Linked DNA regions of Tribolium castaneum. The protein of the gene in region 1 purifies or fractionates together with the protein of each later gene. This does not show direct contact. Links are inferred from orthologs where the notes say so. Each region holds a gene or a part of one and is shown in the gene's direction. Other genes may lie near its edges.

Region 1 (3,500 bases):
ATGTTACGATATAAATATAAATAATAAATACTTTTGTAACTTATCTTCAATAAGAAGCAGTAATTTTTTTTATTATTTGTTTAGTGGTCACTGATCAGTAAGGCCCAATAGTGTGTCTGCGACTTTTGATGTACCCGATTTTGCTTTTTATTTTTGCTTTACTTTTAAGGATCTCATTTTATTTTGCTGACCATCACATAACAAAATACAATACTAGTATAAAAAATAATAATCGTATTTTCAATTTAATTTCTTTTTATTCCTTTAGTTAATTACTGGTATTATTTTAGAATATAAATTTTTATTTTTCTAGAGGTGAAGAAAATTTCAATTGTTTTCTATTTTTTATAAAAGCGGCACTCATTTTTGATTTTCAATTTTGAACAGCAATTTATTCTTATTAGTTATTAACTTATTACTTAGGGCCATTTTCATAACCATAATAAGGATTATTAAATTAAATGTTGCTTATAAAGTGCTCGTTTTTACGATTTGTTGACAAACTTTACACATTTTAATAATTTAATTTAATGCTCTTTTAAATTCGGTTATGAAACTGGCCCGTCATCATAAAAATAAGTAAGACTTCTGATAACTAGTCCATCAAATTCAAATTATACGGGGTTAAATAACTAAGAATCTTTTTTTATTGTTTAAAATTGAATTTTAAAGTCAATGCCAAGGGTTGCGAAAGAGAAGAATAGAATTTTCGCCTGAGACATGTGCTTATCTAAAGCTAAAGTGCTACTTATAACAGTCCTTATCGGGATATTACCAGCGTTATTAAATATAATTATGTATGAGATTCGTTTATTTTTGTTTCCTCATGCAAATAGGGGATTATCCCGACCATCAGCACATGTTGAAATTCCCTTTGTTGGTTTCGCACGAACACGTAATAATGACCACGTCACTTCCAACCCATGAACAACTCGCAAACAAATGTACTAGGGGATTGCATCCTCTTTAATAATCCACTTATACTTTGTAATCGTGAGTTCCCATTAATAAACTCCCAAGTTTTTACCCCCTTCATTACTATGTATTCAAGCTGGATTTTCTCTCATGTAAGTCTCAAAGTGACACAGTTATTTTTGTCCAGTCTCGCAGAGCCACTATCAGGGGGGCCCCGGTGATTTACCCATGCCGCCCGCGAAAGAACAGACCCTCATGTGGCAACAAAACTCGTACATGGGCGACTCCGGCATCCACTCCGGAGCCGCCACCCAGGTACCATCCCTGAGCGGGAAGGAAGAAGACATGGACCTCTTTGACTTGGATCAAGGATACTCCCAAGGCTTCACCCAGGATCAGGTCGACGAAATGAACAACCAGCTCAACCAGACGCGCTCGCAGAGGGTCAGAGCTGCCATGTTTCCGGAGACTTTGGACGAAGGGATCGAAATCCCCTCGACTCAGTTCGATCCCAGCCACCAGACGGCCGTTCAAAGGCTCTCCGAGCCGAGTCAAATGCTCAAACATGCAGTCGTCAATCTAATCAATTATCAAGACGACGCGGATTTGGCGACTCGTGCCATCCCCGAGCTGATCAAACTATTGAACGACGAAGACCAAGTGGTTGTTTCGCAAGCCGCGATGATGGTCCACCAGCTCTCCAAGAAAGAGGCTTCGAGGCACGCGATCATGAACAGTCCGCAAATGGTGGCAGCGCTAGTGAGGGCCATTTCCAACTCGAATGACCTGGAAACGACCAAAGGTGCAGTCGGCACCTTGCACAAATTATCGCACCATCGGCAAGGTCTCCTGGCCATCTTCAAAAGCGGGGGAATTCCAGCATTGGTCAAACTGCTGAGCTCCCCGGTTGAAAGTGTGCTCTTTTACGCCATCACCACCTTGCACAATTTATTGCTTCACCAAGACGGCTCCAAAATGGCCGTCCGCTTAGCCGGAGGCTTGCAAAAAATGGTCGCGTTGTTGCAACGAAACAACGTCAAGTTCTTGGCAATTGTGACCGACTGTTTGCAAATCCTGGCGTACGGCAACCAGGAGAGCAAACTGATTATTCTGGCATCGCAAGGTCCCATCGAACTCGTGAGAATCATGCGGTCGTACGACTACGAGAAGTTGCTCTGGACGACGTCCCGAGTCTTGAAAGTCCTATCCGTGTGTCCGAGCAACAAGCCGGCCATCGTCGAAGCCGGCGGCATGCAAGCCCTGGCCATGCACCTGGGGAACCCCAGCGGCCGCCTCGTGCAGAACTGCCTCTGGACCTTGCGTAACCTCTCCGATGCCGCGACCAAAGTCGACGGTCTCGAAGGCTTGCTCAGTTCCCTGGTGCAGGTTTTGAACTCGCAAGACGTCCACGTCGTTACTTGCGCTTCTGGTATTTTGTCTAACCTGACGTGTAACAACCAACGCAACAAAGTCACCGTTTGCCAAGTCGGTGGTGTTGATGCCCTTGTGCGCACAATTGTGAGCGCTGGGGATCGTGAGGAGATCACAGAACCGGCCGTTTGCGCTTTGCGACATCTCACGTCGAGACATGTGGAGTCGGAAATGGCGCAAAATGCAGTCAGGTTGAATTACGGTATTCAAGTTATCGTGAAGTTGTTGAATCCGCCATCGCGTTGGCCGCTAGTCAAGGCCGTTATCGGGCTTATCAGGAATTTAGCGCTGTGTCCGGCCAATCATGCACCACTAAGGGAGCATGGGGCGATACATCATTTGGTGCAGCTGCTGATGAGGGCCTTCCAGGACACACAGAGGGTAAGACATTGCAGTTACTTATTGTATCTGTTACGGCTAGTGTGTAAACTTGGCTAGTTTGTAAACTAGTCAGACCATTCGCTATTTTAATAGAAAACACAGTTTCAACTAAAATAGCGGCTAGTTTACAAATTAGCCAAGAATCTTTGCTATTTTACTGGAAAGATAAAATAACTGAATAGTTTATAGATTATTCTAAGACATTCTGGCTAGGTAATATGAATACCATACTTTATCGTAATACAAAATATCCAATTTATATAAGTTTATTTGTTTATTTAAATTACGGACACAATCATATTTGAGACTTTTAATAAACACCGGTTTTTTTTCTTAATTCTTCTTGTGCTACGACAGCATTTTCGATCTTAAGGGTGGGTATACAATATTTAACGGTTCTATTTTGTTTTCACTTATTAAACTTTTTTATTCTCATTATTATTCTGTAACTTACTTCGTATAGTACTTACGCCTGTTTTATATAATTATTGATTTGAAGTTTTTGCTAATAAATGAGAGCTTTGAGCTTTAAACTAGAACCATTTCTGGTCTAGATAACTTGACCTCAGGATTTCTTTTCAATTTCTACTTTTGAAGATTTACATATTACACACAATAAAAAATTAAAATTGAATTTTTAATATATTATGGTTCAGTATTTTATTTGCTTCTCTTTTTTGTAAGATTTTTGGACTTCAAGGGCAAGCTTGTAGAAGTATTTTTTTGAAACTGTTTGTAATATTCGGAATTATTTATGAAGAATTGCAATTAGA
Region 2 (3,929 bases), about 9.7 Mb from region 1:
TTTTCCCAATAATTCAGAAAAAATGACATCAATTTTTTTTATACGTTATATCCATCATACATAACACTATTACAACTCGAGTACAAATTAATTAAGGTGTTACTGAACTGTGGTGGGGAACAAAAAATTTCGGACATCTTTGACATTTCGTTGAAATAAACGTGTGTAATTCCCTATCCTTTTTAACAATGACAAAGTGCCCAAAATTTTTGGCTCACCGTTGTTATTATTTTGTAAGAGCAAAATCCAATTGTTGTAAAAAAAGCATTTTGTTTACTATTCTTCTTTTTAACCACTCCCGGCTCAAAAAGTTCGGAAAACACATTGTCAGTCGGAGAATACAAGATTAAATAAAGATCACAATGATAACAAAGTAATCAAATTCGTCTTCAACATTTCACATTATAAAGATTTCAAAAATGAAGAATTAACAAAAAATGTGCTAACTGTTTAGAGCGTCATTATTAGGTGCTCGGACTCTACCATTCTTCGGGCTTCATCATAATCTAATGGGTTCGATATTCTGAACATTTGCACTTTGCAGAAACGAATGAGTAATGAGAATGAGAGGGATTTGAATTAGATCAAATTCAGACACTTATTTTTTGTTTTCTGAAAATATTTAGAATCTGAAAGAATACTTAATTACTTTTTAAATAGTTAACTCGTCGGACTAGTCCACATGGGTACAACTGTAAAATGAGATAATACGTACACACCAATCTTGTTGTATATTCAACAATTTAAACTGCTTCATGGAGGATGTAGGAGGAACGTTATTGTTGTGATACGCCACTGAAATGTGCTCAAAAAATGCTAAATGAAAGATTCTTTAAGAAAAACACCGAAAATGAATGGAACCATCCTGTCATTGCATCACTGGCGAAAACCGTGGAAAAATTTCAAAACGATTCCACTCAACTTGGAAAATTTTCAAATCAGCTGTTGAAAATAGCACTCGCAAACGATCAAGTTGCCTTTGACCATGGAAATGTCAAAAAAATTCAAAGATTTTCGCCGCGAAAATCCACGATTTTCCTTTCCAGCCTCACACATGGGTCAAGCCATGGCACGGAGGCCGTCGTCGTCGAAGGGATCGCGGGCGAGACGTGGAGTGCGGTGCGAGAGGAGGCTGCAAGCGCGCTCTCGGGCGCCATTGCTGTGACGCGCACTTGTGTTCTGTTCTCGTCCAGTGACGACCGCCCAGAAATTTTGACGTGGTTACTACGTATAGCCCGCTTACCCACTCCGATCGCTTCAAACTCGGTGACGACGAATACGTAACTGGTAAGTACCCAGCTGAAGAATAATAACACCGTGCCGACGTGGTCCAGACATCCCTTCGAAGGTGGTGATTCGAGTATTGGCAGTGTTTTGTGCGGACGCTTTTAAAATGTCGACAAGGTGTTTTGCGAGTTTATTGGAAAAGGTATTGAATATGGCGTCATATTGCTCGCGTTTGTTTTAATTTTAGAAATATACGCACACGGACGGACACACTTTTTATTCTTTCGACGGTTTTCGACATTTTTTTGACCAGTGCTGCTGTCAAAACGTCGTGCCGTGGCTCAAGGCTTGCTGTGATTTGCTTAGTCATGTTAAATAGACTGCTTTGATTTTAAATTATTAGATTGGGGTTAGGATCTAACACTGTCAGATTTGACATTTCCACGGACGCATCAACATTTTTTATTATAGCTTCAAAATCCATCTCTAACGCTTCATAACTATTTATGGATAATTTTAGTCCAAATTCACTTGCAATCAATTGACAAGCTAATTTGCAACTTTGTTTTGCTTACATAATAACAGTCTCCTTGTTTTCCAACCGTTTTCAATTTATAACGCAGTTTTACGCCGATTTATCAATAATCGTGGTACCTGAAGTGTATAATCCCAATTAACTTGCAACCAACAATACATCGAGGACAAATCCTAAACACCTGTAATAATTATAATTAATAAAAACCAAGTAGTTTTGGTGTCAAATATTACACTATAAGTAAAGTCTGGATTTAGCAAGTAAAAAAACTGTATTCATTTACCTCTAATAGCAATTTTTAATAAAATAATGTATCGTTCAAGAAGGCCTTGTTACATGACAGCTGTCACTTAAGGTTAAATTTAATCGAATGAAAAATTTTAAATTAAATTTTTAGGGAAAATTATAAAAGAAAACATTTTTTTTCAATAGCATGTTGTTCCTATAAAAAAAACGTTACCTCACAGATCAGTTTTTATCAAATTTTAAATTTCTGTTGTTAACGGGTTGAGAAATTGATAGTTTTGTAGTATTTTTTCATAAAAAAACAACATAACTGTTCTTTAATAATTATTAATAAAACGACAATAATAAAATGGATAGGAATATAATTCTTTTTACTTTATTTTTAAATGTCACACTTGTCTTTTAATTACTACAAGGTTGTTCACGTAAGTTTACGAGGCCTGCGCCTGTAAAATGCAATCAACAATACATATTCCAATACGAACTTGATTACAAACTTTGAGAAATTAGATTGCCTTCTCTAGCTTTGTTCATCCTTTCAAAAAACTGCAAATTTTTTTGTTAGTTGATGATTAGGATTAAGTTACATAGATTTCATGTTAAAATACATAAAAATTGTTTCTGAAAAACATTTGTTTTTCGGTGAAAATTCATACTGAACATGTATTTCTTTTCTTTATTTAGTTTATTTAGTGAAACTTACTTTTCGTTTTACTACTTTTTTTTCAGTATTTTAAGAGGAGTTAAGGGACTGCAGACAACGCCGATCTAGCTTTGATCAGTAGAATCAAGAGAAATTAAATTCGTAAAAAATACCTTATAACTTATAACTCATACAAAAATAAAGAAAAGTGAACTTAAACAAGTGTTTTCTGTTTTACAAAGGTTTTTCTGTTATTGTTATTGAGTAATGATTAGTAATAATTTTTTTAATAAAGAGTAGTTTGTATCAATTTAATTCAAAAACTATGCAAACACAACAAATTCAATACATTATTAGAAATTCTAATAAATGCAAAAATGTTGTAACTCATTTTTGAAGACTTAAAATTACAAACTTGAAAATTATTTTTTTAGATGATGTGGTGAATGAGTGAATGAATATAAAAGATGATTTATTTATAGGTTATTTCTGACTATCATGTCCTAAGACGCAACCAAAAATACTAATTAATTATAATTACTTTAACAACTTTTGTTTTCAACATTTGATTTTTAAAACATTAATTGAATCAAGATTGGTATTTTGTCTTTTATGTCTTTCTTTCGGTCAAAATTTATGGTTTTCTTCTGTGTACGGAAGTTTTGAAAAATGTTTGGCATTTCTGTATACGAAACGTCAGATTATTTTTAATAGATTTAAAGTAATTTTAAGCCTTGTAGAGTCCAATAATTCGAAAAATAAAATGTATTTAAGATAAAATGACGATTAAATAATAATAGACTATAATAAAGACAAACTTGAAAATACTTAGAATAACGCAATCGTGTATTAATTTTGAAATTTTGAACGTTGGCTGATCTGGGCAGCTAGAAATCTGTAGCTGAAAATAAGTATTATTCTAGTATTATTATTATTGGTTGTATCTAAAAACATTACAAATAATCCATGAGTGATTTACCCTGTATGTGTCTTTAACGTATATTTTTTTAATTGTTAACATTTAAAGGTCAATAGTTGAGTAGTTATTCTACATACTTTTCCTTACTGTCCCACGTGAAATCGTCTCTAAATTTGGATATGCAACCCATAAATTAAGCGGTTTTTAAAAACACAAATAGTATTTCTCTACAAATGATGCAGGAATTTTTCCCAAAGACTAGGTTAAAAAGAAATTAACGTTTTGATAATAATTAATTATAATAACTAGACTTACTTCGTCGCAAATATTTGGTATTTATGACTTCGATAAGCTCCAAT
Region 3 (4,292 bases), on another chromosome or scaffold:
TCCAGACCCTTTTCAGGGCAATATACTTGGTTTAACTCTGTCGTCCTTAAATGTACAGAGTCCTTTACTTTCAGGCGGTCGTGGTGCTCCGGTTATCATAGGAACGAGCAGTTCGAGCAGTGGAAGGCCGATGGTGACGGTGCCAGCGCCCTACGTCCCAGAAGAGCTGGTTTCGCAAGCTCAGGTGGTGCTTCAGGGGAAGAGCCGGAATTTGATAATACGGGAGTTGCAACGCACAAATCTTGATGTTAATTTAGCCGTTAATAATTTATTGTCGCGCGATGATGAAGAAGGAGAGGAAGGAGACGATGCAGCTGATTCTTACGTTCCAGAGGATCTAATTTCGCTGCTTGACGGAGGGTTTCATACCGATCATTCGGTGATAATCGATGCTGATGCGATGTTTTCCGAAGATATGTTTGGATATTCGGGCATTAGGAAGTAAGGATTTTTGGTTTGATCTGTTTGACTCGCTTTTTGTGTAGTTGCGCTTTTTTTGTTGGTTAACAACTCTATCGCTTGCATTTTTTTCTATTTTTTTTGCATTTTAACTAACTCGTTGGGAATGTTTGACTTTGCTCAAACAAGCTTCCTTAATAGTCGCGGCAGTGGAAGGAGTCGATTGGCCGACAGAGATGCACCACCGAGCAATAGTTCGAATTCAGATCGAGACAGAGAGAATTTTTCGAGGTGGAGAGATCGTCAGTATTTCGGACCTAGGAGGTGGCTTGAAACGGCACTAAGGGAAAGTCCGTACGAAAAAGATTCAGGTTGGTGCTAGTGATTTTTATTGAATACGACATTAAATACCAAATTTAGATCACAAGAAGAAAGACAGCGCGTGTCCACTTTGGATTTCCGACGACTTGGAATTTTGGCCCGATTCTGCACCGAAATTCGTCCAAATTGCGAGTCTCTACTCGGAATTAATCGCATTGTCGAGTAACGGACAATTGTTTCAATGGCGTTGGAACGACCCCGAACCTTACAGACATCCAGAGGTACGTTCATAGACACTTGAAACCAACCGAAATGCATTTATTCGTTCCAGAATTGTAACATACATCACCCCAAGACAGTTCCTTTGGGTCTAATGGGCGAAAAAATCGTCCATCTCTCGGCTTGTTGCACCCGTTGCTCGGTCTCAACCGAAAGCGGCAAAGTCGCCACTTGGTTAGACGAGCTTTTGGCGCCAGCAGCAGCTAAATTGGAACATTCAGCTCAGGCCTATTCCGAGTTTCAAACTGACAAGGTTGCAGCTTTGTACACGTGTCCGTTGTACACGGTTGCGAAGCTTGAAAGTGGTGCTTTGTACTGGTGGTGAGTATTGATTCACGTATATTATTGACCCATTTTGCTAAAAAAATTGATTAAAGGGGCGTTTTAACCGTTTGCTCAACGCAAACGATTGTGGGAGAAATACCGTACAAAGTGCCGGAAACAAAGACCTTCAAACAATCAATCAGAGATCGTTACTGGGTCGCAAGTTTGTATGAAGAACAGTCCCATGTATCAAGCGGGTGCGATAGGGTTTACCATCGCCAATGGAGTACCAAAAGTGGGCCAATTACAGAATGCGGCTTGGACGTTGAGCGATACTTGCACTTTTAAGATTATCAACGTGCAAACGAGTGGAGCTTCGAGTGCCGATAAGGGGAGAGATGCCGTGCCGGGCCCTAGCGGGTTATGTAAGTCTTTTTTGATATTTATAAACTATTTTATCTGTACTGGACTTAAATGTTTACGGGGTTAATGTTCGTTGCAGCGAATTTAACAAATAAAAGTTCGTCGAATAAAGAAAACGCCGATAGGCTTGATATGCCACCGCCACCATCGCCGGCTTCGAGTACTTGCAGCGATACCGGAAGTATTTCAAACAGTCACAGTAAGTTTTCTACAGTTATTGTAAAACCAATTAATAAAACAATTAAAGAGCGCCAAAAACGCATGACCGTGTCTGGGAGCGACACCGGTTCGGAGCAAAGAAAAGACGAAGAGGAGTGGCTTCTACGGAATGTAATTTTCGTGGAAGATGTACGAAGTGTTCCAGCAGGTCGCGTTTTGAAAGTGGACGGTGCTTACGCCGCCGTCAGATTTCCAAGTGGACATTCCAGAGATCGTGACGCCAAAGATGCCGACGATATTTTCCAAGATTGTCGATTGATGCGCAAGGACGACCTCCAAGTATGAACAATAATTTGGTTTCGGTCAAAATTATTTGTGTTTTGTAGGTGATCAAATCGTCGTCTAATTCACGCGTTCCTGACTGTTTTCAAAAAACACCTCGACGTATCCAAATTTCCGACAATAGCAATCAAATTCTCACGATTGCCGTTGATGGACAAGGCATACATGCCATAGTTCGGAACGGGAGTAAATTGAGTTATGTCGTTTACAACGTCAGTAGCGGAAGAATTGAACAAGATAATCCATTTCCGAGCGACACTGCTTCGTTCATGGGGCTCTATCCACATTTGATCAACTTGATTTGTGCTGGAGAAGTATGTCGTTTGTAGTGTTTGCCTGATTGTTACATTGTTTGTATTTCAGAGTTCTGAAACAATTTTGGTTTTGCGCGACGGTAACAGCACGATTTACCCCCTCAGTAAAGATTGCGCCGATGCGATTCGCGACCCACAATGTCTAGACTTGCCTCCAGTCAAGTGCCTGACAGCTGGTACATTTGGTTTGACTGGAACCGGCCTCAACATGAAGAATCAAGTGGCTATTGTTGTCTTTGCACTTGAACAACAACTACTCATGCCGAAAATACTACGTTGTGATATTGATGGCGTCCGGCAAGTTTTGGCCCAACTAGACAGCGATTTGAGTAAGTTTTACTATTTTCCCGTGTGATATTGTGATGAAAAATTTTCAGAAGCCAACATTTCGAATATCTTAAACGAACGTTGCGACGGCAATCGTAACATTTTCCACGCTGTTGTGAACATGTGTACGCCGACGTCGAACAAGGAAACTGAAAGCGGTGAGTTGGCCAAATTTATGCTTTAGGTGATTACGTTAGGCTCAAGTCGCGTGCGTAGCTTGATTTGTTGGGATCGTCATTTCCAGACCCGTCAGCTGGCCTGGAATGTATCAATGTGATAACGAACGCCGTAGGCCCTCGATCAGTTACGCTACGCGATATGATGCGTAGAGCCGTTGTACGTAGCGAAAGCGCACTCAACAATACTTCTAACTCTGCAGATCAGCACAGTTTCGTCCAAGAAGAACCGATACCGACACACAGTTGGCCACCGGAAAGCTTCGATGTTACGTCAGGCGATGAGGATAGTCTGATGGGTTTGGGAAGCAGTGCTGCCAATAATAAAGGGAGCGGAAACAACAGTAACGCACCGACGAATCTCGTCGTCGATCCAGTTGAAAGACGATCAAACGCGATGCAAATCTTACACGCGCTTTTGTATGATTCCTCGGCTTTGGAGTCGCATCTCATCGAGCTTTTATGTGCAAAGTAATTTTTTTCTCTGCGAGTTTGATTAAATAACCATTGGGATTGGTTTTAGGGATGCACAAGGTCAAACTCCGTTCATGTTGGCCGTATCGTCGCGAAGTTATCCAGCCGCGTTGGAAATTTTCGAAAGAATCATTAAATTGGGGACTCCTCAGGAACGCGAAGAGATGATCTTTCCGAAAGGTTCAAATCCGGATCACTCACCTCTGCATGTTCTGTGCTGCAACGACACGTGTAGTTTTACCTGGACTGGGGCCGAACACATCAATCAAGTAAGACATGGTACGAAAAAAAATAGTTTTTGTAATTAAAATTGTAGGATATTTTTGAATGTCGCACTTGTGGCCTCACCGGAACGCTTTGCTGCTGTACGGAGTGTGCGCGTGTTTGCCACAAAGGCCACGATTGCAAGTTAAAAAGGACTTCGCCTACGGCTTACTGCGACTGCTGGGAGAAATGTAAATGCAAAGCATTGATAATGGGGAACCAAACGGTCCGTTACGAACTTTTGACACGTTTGGTTAAAGAAACCGATCTCGTCTGTTTGCCGAATTCACGCGGCGAAAGTATCTTGCTGTTTTTGGTCCAAACTGTTGGTCGACAAAATCAAGAACAGCGACAGTTTCGTCACACCAGGCCCAGGACGGCATCGGCAAATTCCCGAAATAAAACACCTTCTTCAGATAGTGAGACTCTTTATTCTTATTTGACTCGTATTAACTGTCCGTTTGTGTATTCTCCTTCTGTTTCAGTTGAGACCGATATGCCCGAGCATGATTTAGAGCCTCCCAGATTCAGTCGTCGAGCTTTGGAGTGC

Evidence for each region.
Region 2: the proteins of armadillo segment polarity protein (region 1) and CrebB purify together in Homo sapiens (affinity purification with western blotting; 3 studies listed by BioGRID). This does not show direct contact. The link is inferred for Tribolium castaneum from reciprocal best matches to the Homo sapiens genes CTNNB1 and CREB1.
Region 3: the proteins of armadillo segment polarity protein (region 1) and hyd purify together in Homo sapiens (affinity purification with western blotting; 3 studies listed by BioGRID and IntAct, with this or other methods). This does not show direct contact. The link is inferred for Tribolium castaneum from reciprocal best matches to the Homo sapiens genes CTNNB1 and UBR5.

The regions. Positions count from the first base shown.
Region 1 is NC_087395.1:16,178,640-16,182,139, forward strand, and holds part of armadillo segment polarity protein, read left to right. Parts: intron 1-1,102; coding exon 1,103-2,727; intron 2,728-3,500. UniProt on the Homo sapiens protein: Key downstream component of the canonical Wnt signaling pathway.
Region 2 is NC_087395.1:6,453,005-6,456,933, reverse strand, and holds the start of CrebB (cyclic AMP-responsive element-binding protein 1), read left to right. Parts: upstream 1-1,129; 5' UTR 1,130-1,287; intron 1,288-1,293; exon of another isoform or gene 1,294-1,393; coding exon of another isoform or gene 1,394-1,429; intron 1,430-3,929.
Region 3 is NC_087398.1:9,888,666-9,892,957, reverse strand, and holds the start of hyd (E3 ubiquitin-protein ligase hyd), read left to right. Parts: upstream 1-1,492; coding exon 1,493-1,688; intron 1,689-1,765; coding exon 1,766-1,885; intron 1,886-1,933; coding exon 1,934-2,184; intron 2,185-2,231; coding exon 2,232-2,501; intron 2,502-2,550; coding exon 2,551-2,830; intron 2,831-2,878; coding exon 2,879-2,986; intron 2,987-3,207; coding exon 3,208-3,475; intron 3,476-3,527; coding exon 3,528-3,747; intron 3,748-3,794; coding exon 3,795-4,161; intron 4,162-4,227; coding exon 4,228-4,292. Other genes in the region: E3 ubiquitin-protein ligase hyd-like, read left to right, coding at 75-441, 589-770, 820-1,001, 1,052-1,324. UniProt on the Homo sapiens protein: E3 ubiquitin-protein ligase involved in different protein quality control pathways in the cytoplasm and nucleus. Mainly acts as a ubiquitin chain elongator that extends pre-ubiquitinated substrates.